Xenopus tropicalis: one gene and its partners. The protein of the gene in region 3 interacts with the protein of the main gene of each other region in a pairwise test. Links are inferred from orthologs where the notes say so. Each region holds a gene or a part of one and is shown on either strand. Other genes may lie near its edges. The genes, in order: rap1b, rras2, ralgds, rap1a and krasl.

Region 1 (3,515 bases), on a different chromosome or scaffold from region 3:
AATTGTGATGCCGAGCTTGGTAAATTTCAGTCAGCATTGCCAGTAGTTGGGCAAATACAACAGGCAAGTCATATAGTGACACGCAGGATTATCTGACTTCTGTCTAAGCCATCTCATAACATCCAGAATGGTTCCTTCCTCCTGTGGCTTCATTGTAAATTATTTCTGCCTCGCCCCAATGCAGCATAGTGACTTCTGTTTCCAATTCTTGAAGTGGGTACCTATGTGGATCACAGGGCAACTATTTCCCTGATAGGGCCAAATGACATGATTATATCAGGTATAACTATATTGCTTAGATGTTCATATTCTACTTGATCAGATATTTAATCGCACTGTGTCTTCTAGACCAAAATGTGATTTTGTTCTTTGTTGTGCCTCACATGGAATGTAACTGGCCTTGTGCAAATAGATAGATAGGGGAGCTGAAAATCTTTCTAAAGCAACATGAAAACTATATGTATTTATAAGGCATACATAAGCTCTGGTTTTCTGCCCCTCGCTCACTGCAGAGGGTGAGGCACCTGAAGCCAGTCCTCCCTTTGTGAGATAAGGCCCCCCCACCCTTTGTGGGTCCCACTGGCTAGGTTATATATATATATATATATATATATATATATATATAATATATATATAATTACCATAGTCAGTACTAAGCAGAATCGATCCTGTATTGCCTTTCACTTATGTCACACGTCTCAATAAACTTCTCTTATAAAGCAACATTAACATTACTGTCTCTGGGGTCTGGTTAAAAATCCCTGAAAGTGTAGTTGGGATGTTTTCATGAGGAATTTGTCTGCCACTAACTGGTTTGTCTTGCCACATAGGGAACATAATATCAGATTGTGGGCACACTTCTTTTGCAGTTGCATTTTTATAACACATTTGCAAAATTAAATTTGTTATGTTATACAAAGGAATATTATATAGCAAACGCCATGATCAGCAGTTTTGGTGTGAGTCCATATACTTGAATGTTGTATAGCCGTAAGTGCTTCTGGAATGCAGGTCTCTGATTAGACAACAGAATTTGGTTGCACTGGACATTTAGGCTACATTTTATATAATTAGAGCAGAGAGAGAATATTAACCTAAGAATCAAATTCTATGTCTGTGGCCCTAAGGACAACACTTTGCTGAAATTTTTGTAACACTGTCTTTAACTTTTTTGCAGCAAGTTGAAGTTGATGGGCAACAGTGCATGTTGGAGATCTTGGACACCGCAGGAACGGTATGTTGTATGTAGCAAAAATTTATGTACGCAGAAAGCAAGCCGTGCTGCTTAAAAATAACAGTAGTTTTTATTGGTGCATTATCTGTCTTTATGAAACTGGGCTCTCTGATATCTAGAATCTTTGCTAAAATTAAGCCTGATCCTTAACAGATTTTTATTGCATTTGGCTACCTATCTATGGCAGGTAAGCAGTCAAGTGTTGACTTGATGAGCAAATTGTCAGTGTCCTCTATACCCAAGTTTGCATTAAACATTTTTTACACAACTATAGCCAGTTTTGCCTTGGAGATTACTGAATTTAGCTTACGTCACCTGAACAGCTTATTAAATTGAATAACGCTTTGCTATGTTTTACTCTGCAGGTAGCATGCGTTACCTAACAGATGAGACATTTATACTGTTGTCTTTTTTCTTTCTTATTCCAGGAACAATTCACAGCAATGCGTGATCTGTATATGAAAAATGGACAGGGCTTTGCATTAGTGTACTCTATAACAGCACAGTCCACTTTCAATGACTTGCAGGACCTCAGAGAACAGATCCTCCGAGTAAAAGACACTGATGATGTAAGCATTTTGTAGGAGTACATTAAAAGATGGTTCATTACGGATGTCTGTCATGTATTATTGCAGGTTTCAATGTTAGACTTAAGGTGGCTGTACACAGGCCGATCCTCTTAGGCAGTGATCCCCAGCCAGTGGTTCGTGAGCAACATGTTGCTCCCCAACCCTTTCGATGTTGCTCCCAGTGGCTTCAAAGCAGGTGCTTATTTTTGTATTCCTTGGAGGCAAATTTTGGTTGCATAAACACCAGGTGTAATGCCAAACAGAGACTCCTCTAGGCCGCCACATAGGAGCTACCAGATAGCCAATCACAGCCCTTTTTGGCACGCTCATGAACATTTTTCATGATTGTGTTGCTCTCCAACTCTTTTTACATTTGAGTGTGGCTCACAGGTAAAAAAGGTTGGGGATCCTTGCTCTTAGGTATACAGGTAATCATCCCTGGGGCTGAACAAACAGATATGTAACAAACATATGTCAAACACAGATATCCATAATAGATTGATATTGGTTGGGATTGGTGGGTTGCTATAGAAGTACAGAAAATTGTACAAAACTATTTTTGGGATGTGTGGCTATAAAATGGTTGTGACATGTTTGAGACAAAACTGGCATTTTTTTTCAATTATATCTATGATTGACCAGCACAAAACACTAAAATGCGCAAGTGTCAATCTTTTGAAATAATCTGGTGTTGTTATATACTAATTATCTCTGTCCTTGTTTGTCCACTTTTGCATACATGTGAAACATTTTGCTTTATATCGATTCCTGGCATTAGTCATTATTTTTACTATGTGTATGCATATTTGAGTTACAATACTAAATGCAGAACCACACGTTTTTTTTTTTTAGCTTCAGTCAATACACCCAGCCTGTTTAAATTGAATCTTTTACACAACATTAGATTTTATCTTTTCATCTACCATTATTTATAAAGCTATTTCCGATCAAATAATTATAGCACCCCATCCAAAATAAAATTAAGTTTTGACCTACCATTTTTTTCTTCAGGAGGAATTATTCATGCCTAGGGAATTGTGGCACTGATACACAACAGTTTACGGACAGCCAGGTGTGCCAAGCATGCCAAGACACCAGGAGATAAAGTGCCTATTCCTGCAACCAAAGTTCAGTCAGGCAGTACACTACACTAGTTTTGTAGCCCACATGTATACCAGTGTTTAAATAAATTATCTTTTATAATTATACTTGTTCTTTTAAGCGCTGAGTGAAAACATTTTAAGCATGAGCAACTGTTTAAAAAGAAATACCCTTAGGCCAGGCAGAAACTTTCCTCTGTGTAAGCTATAGCACATTATTTCCTCTTTATGGTCATGTCCGTGAATATATGGCAGAGATCCAAGAAAGCTGCTTTTCATTACCCATGTCCTCTTTATGCTTACTCTAGATTCATACTGAAATATGCATATTTATAGCCAGTGGCAGTATGCGCAACCTGACGCTAGTCATGTTCCACTAAACTACAATCCCACTGTCCCACTGACAGGGCAACTAAACTTCATTTTTCATTACCTGTGGTTTTCATTTTTTATAAAATCAATAACATTTACAATGTAAAACAGCAATGCATTAATTTTTTTTTTTATTATTATTATTTAGGAAAAATATTCCAATAAACATTTACTATGTATATAGTTCTTGAAACATGTTTGTGGCTGCTGGTAGTATCTTACTTTTTATTTTCTATTAAA
Region 2 (3,515 bases), on a different chromosome or scaffold from region 3:
TGAGTATAAGCTACGCCCCCCTGCTGTACTGTCTGTGGCAGCCCCAGTAGAGGGGCAGGGATGGGTTTGCAGAGGATGCTGGGATATTTATGTACCATCTCCTTTGTTCTTTTCCAGTTCTGGACACTGCGGGGCAGGAGGAGTTCGGGGCAATGAGGGAGCAGTACATGAGGACAGGAGAGGGGTTCCTGCTGGTATTTTCGGTCACAGACAGGGGAAGGTGAGACAGATTGCACCTCGTTATTCTTTCAGTTGCTGCTTCCTGGGTCTTGTACAGGTTCTGAGGGTGCTACATCCCTACACATCCATGGTGGGTCTTGGGATACAGAAGTGTATGAGCAGGAATAAAATGGGAAGGGGATACTAGGGTGCAGGAGTGAGAGGGGAGGGGATACTAGGGTGCAGGAGTGAGAGGGGAGGGGATACTAGGGTGCAGGAGTGAGAGGGGAGGGGATACTAGGGTGCAGGAGTGAGAGGGGAGGGGATAGTAGGGTGCAGGAGTGAGAGGGGAGGGGATACTAGGGTGCAGGAGTGAGAGGGGAGGGGATAGTAGGGTGCAGGAGTGAGAGGGGAGGGGATAGTAGGGTGCAGGAGTGAGAGGGGAGGGGATAGTAGGGTGCAGGAGTGAGAGGGGAGGGGATAGTAGGGTGCAGGAGTGAGAGGGGAGGGGATACTAGGGTGCAGGAGTGAGAGGGGAGGGGATACTAGGGTGCAGGAGTGAGAGGGGAGGGGATAGTAGGGTGCAGGAGTGAGAGGGGAGGGGATAGTAGGGTGCAGGAGTGAGAGGGGAGGGGATAGTAGGGTGCAGGAGTGAGAGGGGAGGGGATAGTAGGGTGCAGGAGTGAGAGGGGAGGGGATACTAGGGTGCAGGAGTGAGAGGGGAGGGGATACTAGGGTGCAGGAGTGAGAGGGGAGGGGATAGTAGGGTGCAGGAGTGAGAGGGGAGGGGATACTAGGGTGCAGGAGTGAGAGGGGAGGGGATAGTAGGGTGCAGGAGTGAGAGGGGAGGGGATAGTAGGGTGCAGGAGTGAGAGGGGAGGGGATAGTAGGGTGCAGGAGTGAGAGGGGAGGGGATAGTAGGGTGCAGGAGTGAGAGGGGAGGGGATACTAGGGTGCAGGAGTGAGAGGGGAGGGGATACTAGGTGCAGGAGTGAGAGGGGAGGGGATAGTAGGGTGCAGGAGTGAGAGGGGAGGGGATACTAGGGTGCAGGAGTGAGAGGGGAGGGGATACTAGGGTGCAGGAGTGAGAGGGGAGGGGATACTAGGGTGCAGGAGTGAGAGGGGAGGGGATAGTAGGGTGCAGGAGTGAGAGGGGAGGGGATAGTAGGGTGCAGGAGTGAGAGGGGAGGGGATAGTAGGGTGCAGGAGTGAGAGGGGAGGGGATAGTAGGGTGCAGGAGTGAGAGGGGAGGGGATACTAGGGTGCAGGAGTGAGAGGGGAGGGGATACTAGGGTGCAGGAGTGAGAGGGGAGGGGATAGTAGGGTGCAGGAGTGAGAGGGGAGGGGATACTAGGGTGCAGGAGTGAGAGGGGAGGGGATAGTAGGGTGCAGGAGTGAGAGGGGAGGGGATAGTAGGGTGCAGGAGTGAGAGGGGAGGGGATAGTAGGGTGCAGGAGTGAGAGGGGAGGGGATACTAGGGTGCAGGAGTGAGAGGGGAGGGGATACTAGGGTGCAGGAGTGAGAGGGGAGGGGATAGTAGGGTGCAGGAGTGAGAGGGGAGGGGATAGTAGGGTGCAGGAGTGAGAGGGGAGGGGATACTAGGGTGCAGGAGTGAGAGGGGAGGGGATAGTAGGGTGCAGGAGTGAGAGGGGAGGGGATACTAGGGTGCAGGAGTGAGAGGGGAGGGGATACTAGGGTGCAGGAGTGAGAGGGGAGGGGATACTGGGGTGCAGGAGTGAGAGGGGAGGGGATACTGGGGTGCAGGAGTGAGAGGGGATACTGGGGTGCAGGAGTGAGAGGGGAGGGGATACTGGGGTGCAGGAGTGAGAGGGGAGGGGATACTAGGGTGCAGGAGTGAGAGGGGAGGGGATACTAGGGTGCAGGAGTGAGAGGGGAGGGGATACTAGGGTGCAGGAGTGAGAGGGGAGGGGATACTAGGGTGCAGGAGTGAGAGGGGAGGGGATACTAGGGTGCAGGAGTGAGAGGGGAGGGGATACTAGGGTGCAGGAGTGAGAGGGGAGGGGATACTAGGGTGCAGGAGTGAGAGGGGAGGGGATACTGGGTGCAGGAGTGAGAGGGGAGGGGATACTGGGGTGCAGGAGTGAGAGGGGATACTGGGGTGCAGGAGTGAGAGGGGAGGGGATACTGGGGTGCAGGAGTGAGAGGGGAGGGGATACTAGGGTGCAGGAGTGAGAGGGGAGGGGATACTAGGGTGCAGGAGTGAGAGGGAGGGGATACTAGGGTGCAGGAGTGAGAGGGGAGGGGATACTAGGGTGCAGGAGTGAGAGGGAGGGGATACTAGGGTGCAGGAGTGAGAGGGGAGGGGATACTAGGGTGCAGGAGTGAGAGGGGAGGGGATACTAGGGTGCAGGAGTGAGAGGGGAGGGGATACTAGGGTGCAGGAGTGAGAGGGGAGGGGATACTAGGGTGCAGGAGTGAGAGGGGAGGGGATACTAGGGTGCAGGAGTGAGAGGGGAGGGGATAGTAGGGTGCAGGAGTGAGAGGGGAGGGGATACTAGGGTGCAGGAGTGAGAGGGGAGGGGATACTAGGGTGCAGGAGTGAGAGGGGAGGGGATAGTAGGGTGCAGGAGTGAGAGGGGAGGGGATACTAGGGTGCAGGAGTGAGAGGGAGGGGATACTAGGGTGCAGGAGTGAGAGGGGAGGGGATACTAGGGTGCAGGAGTGAGAGGGGAGGGGATACTAGGGTGCAGGAGTGAGAGGGGAGGGGATAGTAGGGGGGGGGGGTAGGGTGCAGGAGTGACAGGGGAGGGGATACTAGGGTGCAGGAGTGAGAGGGGAGGGGATACTAGGGTGCAGGAGTGAGAGGGGAGGGGATAGTAGGGTGCAGGAGTGAGAGGGGAGGGGATACTAGGGTGCAGGAGTGAGAGGGGAGGGGATAGTAGGGTGCAGGAGTGAGAGGGGAGGGGATACTAGGGTGCAGGAGTGAGAGGGGGAGGGAATTTTTATTCTGTTTCTAATTTTTTTTTTTGTAGTTTTGAAGAAATCTACAAATTCCAAAGACAGATCCTGCGGGTAAAGGACCGGGATGAATTTCCCATGATTCTGGTTGGTAACAAGGCTGACTTGGAGCACCAGAGGCAGGTAAGTAGTTATGGCGGGGGGGGCAGTGGGGGTAAATGATAGAGGAGGTGTTGGCTGTGATTAAACTCATCTTTTGGGATGTTCCAGGTAACGCGGGAGGAGGGGCAGCAGTTGGCGCGGCAGCTGAAAGTCACCTACATGGAGGCTTCGGCCAAAATCAGAATGAATGTAGACCAAGCATTTCATGAACTTGTTAGAGTTGTAAGGTGAGTGGCGCCATCTTTACTCTGTGTGTTATACATATGGGTAGGGGG
Region 3 (4,239 bases):
CCCAGTGAGCTTACAATCTAAGGTCCCTATCACATTCCCATCAGCCCCTGACTCAGGAGCCAATTAACCTGCCAGGGTTACCCACACAGACACCCACTGGTATTATTAGGAAAATAGACACATTTAAACATTATATAGAGCGCAATATAAATACAGCTCATGGCTGCCTGCGCTTTGATCTGCCAGTCTGTGTTTGGATTGGTCGGGAGCAGCTGATCAGTGCGTGTGTGTGTGCAGTTGGAACAATCCCAAGAGAATCTGAGGTTATTATAAATAAATAGGAGGAAATAGAGGCAAGGAAAATAATCTCACCGCTGGCAGGAAACCTCTGTACCAACCAAACTGCTCCCCCTCCCTCTCCTTGTTATTATTAGTATTACTGGGGAACCCACTTACTAAGCAGGTTCTTTAAAGGGAAAATATACAGTGAGTGACTACATGGAACCCCGTGCCCTGGGTACCCCTGGAACTATAGCGGGGTGACTGTTACCCCAATGTTTCTATATATCTGTAACCTTGTTATGGGCTAAGGGGGCCCAGCCTGAAGGCCAGTTGGGGGGGGATTTGGGGTGAGTGCTTATTTGTGCCCTGGGTACCCCTGGAACTATAGCAGGGTGACTGTTACCCCAATGTTTCTATATATCTGTAACCTTGTTATGGGCTAAGGGGGCCCAGCCTGAAGGCCAGTTAGGGGGGGATTTGGGGTGAGTGCTTATTTGTGCCCTGGGTACCCCTGGAACTATAGCAGGGTGACTGTTACCCCAATGTTTCTATATATCTGTAACCTTGTTATGGGCTAAGGGGGCCCAGCCTGAAGGCCAGTTAGGGGGGGATTTGGGGTGAGTGCTTATTTGTGCCCTGGGTACCCCTGGAACTATAGCAGGGTGACTGTTACCCCAATGTTTCTATATATCTGTAACCTTGTTATGGGCTGAGGGGGCCCAGCCTGAAGGCCAGTTAGGGGGGGATTTGGGGTGAGTGCTTATTTGTGCCCTGGGTACCCCTGGAACTATAGCAGGGTGACTGTTACCCCAATGTTTCTATATATCTGTAACCCCGTTGGGTGAGTTACACCAGAGGAATAGGGGTACCAGTAGTAATGCAGTATTTATATTGCCCAGGATGTAGTTATGCCATATTCAGTCAGTGAAGTCTCACAACACTAATAAGAGACTGCAAGTAAAACAGATAGTGCCCGTATGTTCCAGTCAGGTCAGAGTCACCGAGTCAATTTCACTTTTACACAGCAATAAACAGAAAGGGAAACGGGTAACCCCCCCCCATGTTTAATCCCAATCGATATCCAGACAATTCCCAGGATTACAGCTCTATAGCGGGCTGATCACATGAGATCCAGTCCGGGTTTTCGCCCCGCCTCTCGGTGACGGAGTGGGCGGGCCCCAGAGGCGCAGTGAATGGCAATGAGCGAGTCCCGGAGATCCCACAGCAGAAAGGCGCAGAGCAGCCAGAGAATCCCCTCAGCGGAACGTTCCATTCTGCTCGCCAGTTCGGGGGGCGCTCACACGGATACAGGGGGGCTAAGTCCATGGATATACTGAGCTGATACCCTATTTCTCCCTATGATTTACCTCATGTTGCTGGAGCCCCAACATGACAAGCCATGCACCCCGGAGAAGATGTTTGAGTGCACCGCCAGGAAGATGAGGAGCCTGTGGGATGGGGTCCGGCTGGAAGTGGCCGGGGAAAGCAGCCCGGTGGTACTCAGCAGCTTCACCCAGCTGGACCCGGACCTGCCCCCGCTAGAGGTGAGACCTAAGCCTCCGACTTGTTGCTGCTTTCTGCTCATGTAATCGCTCTAATTGGTTTGTGCAGCAAGGGTTGCTGGGAGTTGTAGTCCAGCAGTAGCAGGGGGGGGGGTATGATTCATGTTTGGATATTGATACAATGTATCCTGTAGGCACAGGAAATCTCCAACTTGTTTGTATTTACACTTCATTGGCAATCAGAGAGTTGTCAAACTATGGCTTCCAGCACTGGGGAGTGATTGCTGCTCTGTATGTGTGGTATATGTACAACCAGCTGGCCTATCGAGTGTAGCAAATGGATCGGCAAGGCAAACGGACATTCTGAATAATGCACTCCTGTATCCATCAGCTTGGGTTTGTAATCCCTGTATATACCCCTCTAATGTGCACCCTGGCCCTAAGCCAATGGCCTATTGAGTGTAGTGGCTGCAGGGAACTGGCTTTTGGCAATGGTTCCTATGGAACTGGTCTATTGAGTGTAGCAAATGGCTACAGGGAAATGCAGTGTTGCTAGTAGTCTTCCTATGGAACTGGTCTATTGAGTGTAGCAAATGGCTACATGGAACTGCCGTGTTGCTAGTAGGCTTCCTATGGAACTGGTCTATTGAGTGTAGCAAATGGCAACCTGGAACTGCCGCTTGCTAGTAGGCTTCCTATGGAACTGGTCTATTGAGTGTAGCAAATGGCTACATGGAACTGCCGTGTTGCTAGTAGGCTTCCTATGGAACTGGTCTATTGAGTGTAGCAAATGGCAACCTGGAACTGCCGCTTGCTAGTAGGCTTCCTATGGAACTGGTCTATTGAGTGTAGCAAATGGCTACAGGGAAATGCAGTGTTGCTAGTAGGCTTCCTATGGAACTGGTCTATTGAGTGTAGCAAATGGCTACATGGAACTGCCGTGTTGCTAGTAGGCTTCCTATGGAACTGGTCTATTGAGTGTAGCAAATGGCTACAGGGAACTGCAGTGTTGCTAGTAGGCTTCCTATGGAACTGGTCTATTGAGTGTAGCAAATGGCAACCTGGAACTGCCGCTTGCTAGTAGGCTTCCTATGGAACTGGTCTATTGAGTGTAGCAAATGGCTACAGGGAACTGCAGTGTTGTTAGTAGGCTTCCTATGGAACTGGTCTATTGAGTGTAGCAAATGGCTACATGGAACTGCCGTGTTGCTAGTAGGCTTCCTATGGAACTGGTCTATTGAGTGTAGCAAATGGCTACAGGGAACTGCCGCGTTGCTAGTAGGCTTCCTATGGAACTGGTCTATTGAGTGTAGCAAATGGCTACATGGAACTGCCGCGTTGCTAGTAGGCTTCCTATGGAACTGGTCTATTGAGTGTAGCAAATGGCTACATGATACGGCTTGCTGGCAGGACATAAAATAGATTTGCTCTGCCATGTTGGCCAGTGGGCTGCTATACGGGCACGCTGGCTGGCACCTGTCAGGGCGCTGCAGGGAAGGGCAATGCCGCGGTGGCGGCAGCAGGAATGTTAATCGCGAGTGGATTATAGTCGGGCTCATACCCCTCCGTCTCTAGGGGCCGTTCTCCTGCTTCTGTGGCCCCCGACTGTAAGAGATTAGCCGAGCAAAGGGCACAGGGAGCAGACGGGAGTGGTGCCAAAGTGCAGAATTACTGGCATATCCATTTCTATTGTAATACTGTGCGGCAGCCTGGCACCCATTAGTGCCCGCTGTACCTGCCCCGGGTGCCCCCCCCCCCGGGGATTCAATATACAATATATTAAGGGGCTTTTTAGCATCTATTTCCCCCTGGCAGAGAGCAAATGACTGCCCACATACGTTAGTAAATATCCATAGGTGCCCAAGAGCCCCACTGCCCCATCCTTCTTATTAGCAGTAATTGGCATCGCTGGGTTCATTTGATCCCTAATTTACATCTGTGGTGGCAAAGTGACCCCCTTTCTTGGCTCTGGCGGAGTATTCATGAGCCAATGAGATCCGAGCACTCACTTTCATTTATTAATTAAGGACTGGAATTGACCAACGCGGGTTCTTTTTTAACCTGAGCTGCTAGGATACTGTGACCATTCCATCAGTGGATTGCACTGGGCTATACTAGAATGATGGAGGGGGGGGATAGACTGAAAGCTTATATATAGAATAGGATCCCTGCAATTACACAATGGGCTCTTCTAAATTACTGTCAAATAATGGGGTCCTGGGTTCAATTCCCGCCAGGGCGCTATCTGCAAAGTGTCAGTTTCTACTGGGACCATAGAGTGTAAACTCCACTGGGGCAGGGGCTGATGGGAATGTGATAGGGACCTTAGATTGTAAGCTCCACTGGGGCAGGGACTGATGGGAATGGGATAGGGACCTTAGATTGTAAGCTCCACTGGGGCAGGGGCTGATGGGAATGTGATAGGGACCTTAGATTGTAAGCTCACTGGGGCAGGGGCTGATGGGAATGTGATAGGGCCCTTAGATTGTAAGCTCACTAGGGCAGGGGCTGATAG
Region 4 (3,515 bases), on a different chromosome or scaffold from region 3:
GGTCCCTTTTTTCCTCCTTGTACAGTCAGTTGTTAAAAAAAAAAAATCCAGCTATCAACACAGGACTTCTGTTTCATAAGGAGTTATTTTGTGAAATGGTGAAGGAAACAAGTGGAACTTCATCTATTTTCAACTACTTTGCAGCTTTAAAGTATACTTATTTATCAAAGTTACATTAATCTGGGTCCAATAAGAGGTTTCAAAGCTAAGGCTAGTTCCACATGGAGCTGATTCCTCTGGCTGCCCTTCGTCTGTACCCACAGGCACTGTCAGCCTAGGTGCTAATACATGGAATGGATGTCAGACATGCACGTGACCAAGGATTTTTGCAGTGAAAGCCGCTCTGTTTGTCTAAGCAACACATTAAAATCCTCTAGAGCAGAAGGGTGGTTGTTTTTTTTTTTTTCTCACAAAATGTTAGACTTTTACTGTACGTGCTGTAAGCTCCTAAAATACTAAAACTAAATACATTGTTTTTTCATCTCTAGACTACACTATTGTGAAACAAAAATAATCCCATCATGCGCGAGTACAAGCTCGTGGTCCTTGGTTCTGGAGGTGTTGGAAAGTCTGCTTTGGTAAGTTGAGCTTTCCATATGTATATTTGGCCATGTCATAATTAACTTACATAATACAGCCAATTAGCCCATATAAAAATAATTACTCTTTAAAGGGGAATAGGTTAATATCTATCATGGTTTGATGTAGCCTATTATTAACGAGACGTATAGCTTAAATGAAAATCCACCCTAAACTTGTAGGCAGTAATGAATAATATATGGTGCTGATTTCACTCTGGGCTTAAAATGATCATTTTCCTTAAAAACGAACCCTTTATTGGAGTTTCTATAGATCTGCTACATCCCTGTGATGTTTCATATAAGGAGTTGGGCGTGTTCTAATGGTCCCTGCCAAAAGAGCTATAGGAGGAGGATAGCCAATCACAGCTCTGCAGTCACACAATACAGGCTTAAGTTCCCTATCAGGTCCACTTACCTGCTGATTCCTATCCTACAGTGCTGAGTGCTGCCGGTCCCCCTGCACATCCAGAAAAAGCAGGAAACACACATTTTTTAAAGCACATTTCTTCAGTATTTAGACAAGTATAATGCACTGGCACATTCTCGTTTTTACACAATATTTACCTTTTAATAAAAGCTCGGATACGGCCTGTGTTGTATTGTAAAATAAAGTAAAGATGAAAGAATAGACTATAATAGACAAAAATTCCAGTTGTTTGTAAGAGGGGTTGTTGTAATAATTTCATAGCTGAAATTACTTCACACTTTAGTTTTGCAAAACTTTAAGCAGTGGGCTGAAATACAGATCTAGAGATTGTACTTGCCACAAGAAATGTTCATGGTCCTCACACCAGAACACCTGTTCTATAAGGTGTAGTTTAGTAAAGCTCTCATGGCAAAATTAAATTCTAAGATGCCCAGCACAGAGAGATGCTCCTTGGCTTGTACCCCCAGCATTTTATAAATGGCTGATATCCCCCGCCCCCAGTTAATGGGGTTTATTTTTAGCTGCTGCAGGTGATGTGGTTAAACATGTCTGTTGTGTAATTTTCTTCATACATTTTATTTCTCTACAGACAGTCCAGTTTGTTCAAGGTATTTTTGTGGAAAAGTATGACCCAACAATAGAAGATTCATACAGAAAGGTAATACCTATTTTAAATGTACTAACATGTTTACATATTCTGTATTAGTGTTTATTACTTTACATTAAATAAATTGTTAGTTTTAAAATATTACCTATTTTCCACCTAAAGAAGCAGGAAGCATACCTCTCATTCACATTAAATTTACTTTCCAGTACCTCTACAGTTTGTTTGTTTTTTGTAACAAATTTGCTTATTTGCTTTGTATATAGTTTATTTGCTTTTATATATTGTATTTTTGCTTTTGTATTTGTCCATTGTATAGCCAGCCTCTATCCACATAGCTCCATGCGGATGTGGTCCTCACACCGACAGGAAAATCAAACCAACCAGATATTGGTCGGGTAGGCTGTTGGTAAGCCCCATACATGGGCTAACAAGTTTCCAAGGTCAAAAGCTGCCAGTGTATGGCAACTTTTACTTGTTCACCTCTGTGTTAAAGGAAATAAAAGACACATGGCCACAAACTGAGAGGAAGCCTTCAACTCACAGATGCCATTTCCCCACTCCAGCATCTTAGGCTGGCAGAGTCAGCCACTTCCTGTTGAAATATAAAATTCTGGGACTTGAAGTCCCTCGGCTTTCCAGAGAGTCTGTGCTTGCCCCTCCTATATCTTCTACTTCTCATTGTATAGTACAAAGCTAAGCATGATCAGTGGTCCTTATCTAAAATATTCACATTAAGTAGATACTGATCGACCTCAGCCTCTTCCTTTTGTCATTCTCTGTCAGAAGTCAGCTGTCTGTAAAAGCCTACTGATGCATTTTTGGGCACCTTTAGCATGACAAGTACTCGCCATGTAATTTCAACACAAGTCTGTGGGGGTAGTGCTCAGTGTCAAAATAATATCTGTACATGATTTAGTGCATATACATTGTGCTTCTTGATGCTAGCTGCTTTGGGAACCCAACATCAGTAGGTGTGCATGTGCCATATTTACAATAGGAGGCAGGACAGACACAGTGCAACTATGCAAATGTCATTCAATGCAAGTAATTTTAATGAATAGTGTAATTTCACACAGAAATAATCTGTCACTGCTTTTGATTAAAAAAAAAAAACAATGGAAATGCTGTGCCAACTTCTTCCAAAGGCGGAGCTCTTCCCAAGCTTTTCAGTTAGAAGCAGACGGTCGGAATGCCTCATTTCATAGCCTTGGACTTGAATGCATGACTTTAAAATAATGGGCCATGGTGTAATAGGAGGTACCCAAGTAGAAAAATGTCTACAACTTTTTCAAACATAAAAGGAACAATATACACCTGTGTTCATTAAGAACAAATTAAAGAGCTGTTTTTCCCTTACATCAGTGCATTTAAGGGAAAAAACTGACACTGCACAGCTATTTTACATTTTGCTGCCCAAGTAAGATTGCAGTTTAGTGTCAGTTTTTCTCTAGGCCGGTGCATTTCTTAATTTAAAAAATGTTTAACCTGTTATTTGAACTCCTATAGTATACATAGGTGTATAGTGCCCCCTGTCAAAAATATCTGTAAAGCTATGCACACTATTGTAACTAAAAAGAAACACTTTTTAGTTTGATGTAAGTTGATGTGCGAATGTGGGGTGTACAGCGATATAGATTTCTCCATTTGTGACACTCAAAGGGTTAATGCACTCACTTAAAGCTGTAGCAAATATGAAAAGACCTACTACATGAATAGCAGCATTTACAAGACTGTTCATAATTTGGTCAGATATAAAAAAAAAAAATCTTTATAATTTTTTTATTTCTTGTAGTTAGTATAAAAATATTATTGTTGTGAAGTCTTGTATTACATAATGTTTGAAATTAACCAAGATGCATTTTGTTTGAATTGCAGCAAGTGGAAGTGGAAGGACAGCAAT
Region 5 (4,120 bases), on a different chromosome or scaffold from region 3:
GTTACTTTTTATTCCTTATCTTTCTATTCAGCCCCTCTCCTATTCATATTCCTGTCTCTCATTGCAACTCTACCTTAGCAAGTCCCCGGTTTCTAAGGTAATTTGGACCCTAGCAACCAGATAGCTGCTAAAATTCCAAACTGGAGAGCCGCTGAACAAAATGTAAAATAATTAAAAACTACAAATAATAAAAAATGAAGACCAATTGCAAATTGTCTCAGAATATCACTCTCTACATCATAAGTTAACTCAAAGGTCTATTCTTAGCAACTTTTCAGTTGGTCTTCATTATTTATTTCTTATAATTTTTGAATTCTGTGACTCTTTGCAGCTTTCAAATGGGGGTCACTGACCCCGGCAGCCAAACCCTATTGCTCTGTGAGGCTCCAGTTTTATTGTTATTGTTACTTTTTATTCCTTATCTTTCTATTCAGCCCCTCCCCTATTCATATACCAGTCTCTCATCCCTGGTTGCCAAGGTAATTTGGACCCTAGCAACAGGATAACTGACCCCGGCAGCCAAAACCTATTGTTCTGTGAGGCTCCAGTTTTATTGTTATTGTTACTTTTTATTCCTTATCTTTCTATTCGGCCCCTCCCCTATTCATATTCCAGTCTCTCATTCATACCACTCGCTGGTTGCTAGGGTAACTTGGACCCTAGCAACCAAACCCTATTGCTCTGTGAGGCTCCAGTTTTATTGTTACTGTTACTTTTTATTCCTTATCTTTCTATTCAGCCCCTCCCCTATTCATATTCCTGTCTCTCATTCATACCACTCCCTGGTTGCTAAGGTAATTGGAGCCCTAGCAGCCAGATAGCAGTGGAACGGGAGAGCTGCCGAACAAGAATTGAAATAATTAAAAAACTACAAATAATAAAAAATGAAGACCAATTGCAAATGAGTATTTTCTCTGCAGTTTACCACCCTGCTTCCAAATGAATAGGGAAAATAGTATTTACTACTTTATCCGCCACTTTCTCTCTTTCAGTACTTGATTAAATGATAGACAATTACAAGTTTTCACACACACGGACAGACAGTATGGCAGCTTCACTGCTCTCAGGGTTAAAGATCTGAGCGTTACGTCATGGCATTTCCTGCAGACGAATTATCAGGCTTACTTGCCCTTTACTCAATAGTAACCAGGACACCACGCCCCTCGGCCCGTACGTCACACCAGGGGGGCGGTACCATCGGGGAGTAGCCTAGCGTTCGGGGCGGGGCGCTTTCATTTGCATTCCGCCTTCAGCCAATGAGGGAGGCCAAATCGCTCTGACGTCACCGGCGAATCCCCGTTGTATTTATAGCTCGTATTTAAAGAGCCCCTGGGAGTCTCCGGCCCAGGCCTGTGTGTGCGGGACCGGCAGCGCCGCCTTCTCTCTCTGCTCCAGCCCGGGCCCCATCCCCAGGGGGAAGCATGCAGCCGTGAGCCCCAGCCGCCAGCATACCGGTGAGTGAGTGCGGCCCGGGGGGTACAATGCCTGGCTAGTTACCCCAGCGGGGGGTATGTGGGTACTAAGCCTTGGGGGTTAACTGCAGCCGGGGGCTGGTATTTGGCCTTCTCTCTGGGTAACTGGCCGGTTACAATTTGCCCCCCACCCCGGGGTATAAGGATCTCCTGATCCCCCTCAGCTACCCCACCGTGGGGCTAATTGGCTTCTGATTCTCTCTATCTGCCCCTTGCGGGTAACTACTCATCCTTCCTGGGCCCATGGGTGTAACTGCTATATTTACCCCCGGCCGGTAGTTGCTTTGGGCCCTTTATTCCTGCCCCTAGCGATCCCCTATATTTACCCCACCAGGGGTATTACTGCCTCCTGATCTGTTCTCTCTGTATTGTACCCCTTGGGGCAAGTGGCTGCTGGTCCCTTTCTTCCTACCCCCCCTGCCTTCCCTTGCTTTACCCACTGATCCCAAGGGGATCCCCATTCTGCCCCCCAGGGGTTTATTCCTTTCTCCCATTCTGCCCCCCAGGGGTTTATTCCTTTCTCCCATTCTGCCCCCCAGGGGTTTATTCCTTTCTCCCATTCTGCCCCCCAGGGGTTTATTCCTTTCTCCCATTCTGCCCCCCAGGGGTTCATCCTTTCTCCCATTCTGCCCCCCGAGGGGTTTATTCCTTTCTCCCATTCTGCCCCCCGAGGGGTTTATTCCTTTCTCCCATTCTGCCCCCCGAGGGGTTTATTCCTTTCTCCCATTCTGCCCCCCGAGGGGTTTATTCCTTTCTCCCATTCTGCCCCCCCAGGGGTTTATTCCTTTCTCCCATTCTGCCCCCTACCCCTGTGGCTTTCCTCTTTCTCCCATTCTGCCCCTCTTGGGGCTTTATTCCTCTCTCTCCCATTCTGCCCCTCTTGGGGCTTTATTCCTCTCTCTCCCATTCTGCCCCTCTTGGGGCTTTATTCCTCTCTCTCCCATTCTGCCCCTCTTGGGGCTTTATTCCTCTCTCTCCCATTCTGCCCCCCTTGGGGCTTTATTCCTCTCTCTCCCATTCTGCCCCCCTTGGGGCTTTATTCCTCTCTCTCCCATTCTGCCCCCCTTGGGGCTTTATTCCTCTCTCTCCCATTCTGCCCCCCTTGGGGCTTTATTCCTCTCTCTCCCATTCTGCCCCCCTGCTTTGATTGGTCTCTGTCTACTTGTGCCCCATTTGTCTCTTTTTTCAGCTTATTGGGGTACTGCGTTTAGGGGTAATTCCCTGGGACCACAATTACCCCCCCCCCCCCCCAGGATGTGTTGTCTTTGTCCGTTATACTTCTTTACAGGGTCTCTAGGGAATGCCCCCTGCAGTTCTTTGGGCCTATTTTTGACTCCTAGTCCCCCCCCCCCCCCCCCAACCACAAGAATAGGACTTTAATATTTAAGGTGCTAAAAGGGTAAATACCCCTAGTTTGTCGGTATAGGGGCATCAGTAATGTTCTGTATAGAGAAATGGGGGACGGGTTACATATCCCCCTCTGTTTCTACTGGGGGTCACATGACTTCATCTGTGGCCCTTAATACATGGAGGACGAAGGGCCTGAAATTGCCACTGAACTAAAGCAGAGGGGTAAATTAATTGCCTACTATTCTGTACCAGAGGGCAGATATCCTATCTGATCCCCCCATTGTAAGCAGCAGTCCTGCCCTGCTTTATGGCTGAGATTCTAGCTATCTGTATAACAGAGCATTCTGTCACAGTGGCACAGATCCTATCTGATCCCCCCATTGTAAGCAGCAGTCCTGCCCTGCTTTATGGCTGAGATTCTAGCTATCTGTATAACAGAGCATTCTGTCACAGTGGCACAGATCCTATCTGATCCCCCATTGTAAGCAGCAGTCCTGCCCTGCTTTATGGCTGAGATTCTAGCTATCTGTATAACAGAGCATTCTGTCACAGTGGCACAGATCCTATCTGATCCCCCCCATTGTAAGCAGCAGTCCTGCCCTGCTTTATGGCTGAGATTCTAGCTATCTGTATAACAGAGCATTCTGTCACAGTGGCACAGATCCTATCTGATCCCCCCATTGTAAGCAGCAGTCCTGCCCTGCTTTATGGCTGAGATTCTAGCTATCTGTATAACAGAGCATTCTGTCACAGTGGCACAGATCCTATCTGATCCCCCCATTGTAAGCAGCAGTCCTGCCCTGCTTTATGGCTGAGATTCTAGCTATCTGTATAACAGAGCATTCTGTCACAGTGGCACAGATCCTATCTGATCCCCCCATTGTAAGCAGCAGTCCTGCCCTGCTTTATGGCTGAGATTCTAGCTATCTGTATAACAGAGCATTCTGTCACAGTGGCACAGATCCTATCTGATCCCCCCATTGTAAGCAGCAGTCCTGCCCTGCTTTATGGCTGAGATTCTAGCTATCTGTATAACAGAACATTCTGTCACAGTGGCACAGATCCTATCTGATCCCCCCATTGTAAGCAGCAGTCCTGCCCTGCTTTATGGCTGAGATTCTAGCTATCTGTATAACAGAGCATTCTGTCACAGTGGCACAGATCCTATCTGATCCCTCCCATTGTAAGCAGCAGTCCTGCCCTGCTTTATGGCTGAGATTCTAGCTATCTGTATAACAGAGCATTCTGTCACAGTGGCACAGATCCTATCTGATCCCCCCCCCCATTGTAAGCAGCAG

The links.
Region 1: the proteins of ralgds (region 3) and rap1b interact in binary tests that used the Homo sapiens proteins (3 or more experiments, as listed by UniProt). The link is inferred for Xenopus tropicalis from reciprocal best matches to the Homo sapiens genes RALGDS and RAP1B.
Region 2: the proteins of ralgds (region 3) and rras2 interact in a two-hybrid assay, tested with the Homo sapiens proteins (2 studies listed by BioGRID and IntAct). The link is inferred for Xenopus tropicalis from reciprocal best matches to the Homo sapiens genes RALGDS and RRAS2.
Region 4: the proteins of ralgds (region 3) and rap1a interact in a two-hybrid assay, tested with the Homo sapiens proteins (3 studies listed by BioGRID and IntAct). The link is inferred for Xenopus tropicalis from reciprocal best matches to the Homo sapiens genes RALGDS and RAP1A.
Region 5: the proteins of ralgds (region 3) and krasl interact in a two-hybrid assay, tested with the Homo sapiens proteins (3 studies listed by BioGRID and IntAct). The link is inferred for Xenopus tropicalis from reciprocal best matches to the Homo sapiens genes RALGDS and KRAS.

The regions. Positions count from the first base shown.
Region 1 is NC_030679.2:58,804,206-58,807,720, forward strand, and holds part of rap1b (ras-related protein Rap-1b precursor), read left to right. Parts: intron 1-1,177; coding exon 1,178-1,234; intron 1,235-1,662; coding exon 1,663-1,803; intron 1,804-3,515. UniProt on the Homo sapiens protein: GTP-binding protein that possesses intrinsic GTPase activity. Contributes to the polarizing activity of KRIT1 and CDH5 in the establishment and maintenance of correct endothelial cell polarity and vascular lumen.
Region 2 is NC_030680.2:3,481,842-3,485,356, forward strand, and holds part of rras2 (ras-related protein R-Ras2), read left to right. Parts: intron 1-117; coding exon 118-220; intron 221-3,152; coding exon 3,153-3,261; intron 3,262-3,348; coding exon 3,349-3,467; intron 3,468-3,515. UniProt on the Homo sapiens protein: GTP-binding protein with GTPase activity, involved in the regulation of MAPK signaling pathway and thereby controlling multiple cellular processes. Regulates craniofacial development.
Region 3 is NC_030684.2:11,276,281-11,280,519, forward strand, and holds the start of ralgds (ral guanine nucleotide dissociation stimulator), read left to right. Parts: upstream 1-1,431; 5' UTR 1,432-1,580; coding exon 1,581-1,766; intron 1,767-4,239. UniProt on the Homo sapiens protein: Functions as a guanine nucleotide exchange factor (GEF) activating either RalA or RalB GTPases and plays an important role in intracellular transport. Interacts and acts as an effector molecule for R-Ras, H-Ras, K-Ras, and Rap.
Region 4 is NC_030678.2:59,474,172-59,477,686, forward strand, and holds part of rap1a (ras-related protein Rap-1A), read left to right. Parts: intron 1-488; 5' UTR 489-521; coding exon 522-578; intron 579-1,597; coding exon 1,598-1,666; intron 1,667-3,490; coding exon 3,491-3,515. UniProt on the Homo sapiens protein: Counteracts the mitogenic function of Ras, at least partly because it can interact with Ras GAPs and RAF in a competitive manner. Together with ITGB1BP1, regulates KRIT1 localization to microtubules and membranes.
Region 5 is NC_030679.2:2,105,543-2,109,662, reverse strand, and holds the start of krasl (GTPase KRas), read left to right. Parts: upstream 1-1,314; 5' UTR 1,315-1,454; intron 1,455-4,120. UniProt on the Homo sapiens protein: Ras proteins bind GDP/GTP and possess intrinsic GTPase activity. Plays an important role in the regulation of cell proliferation.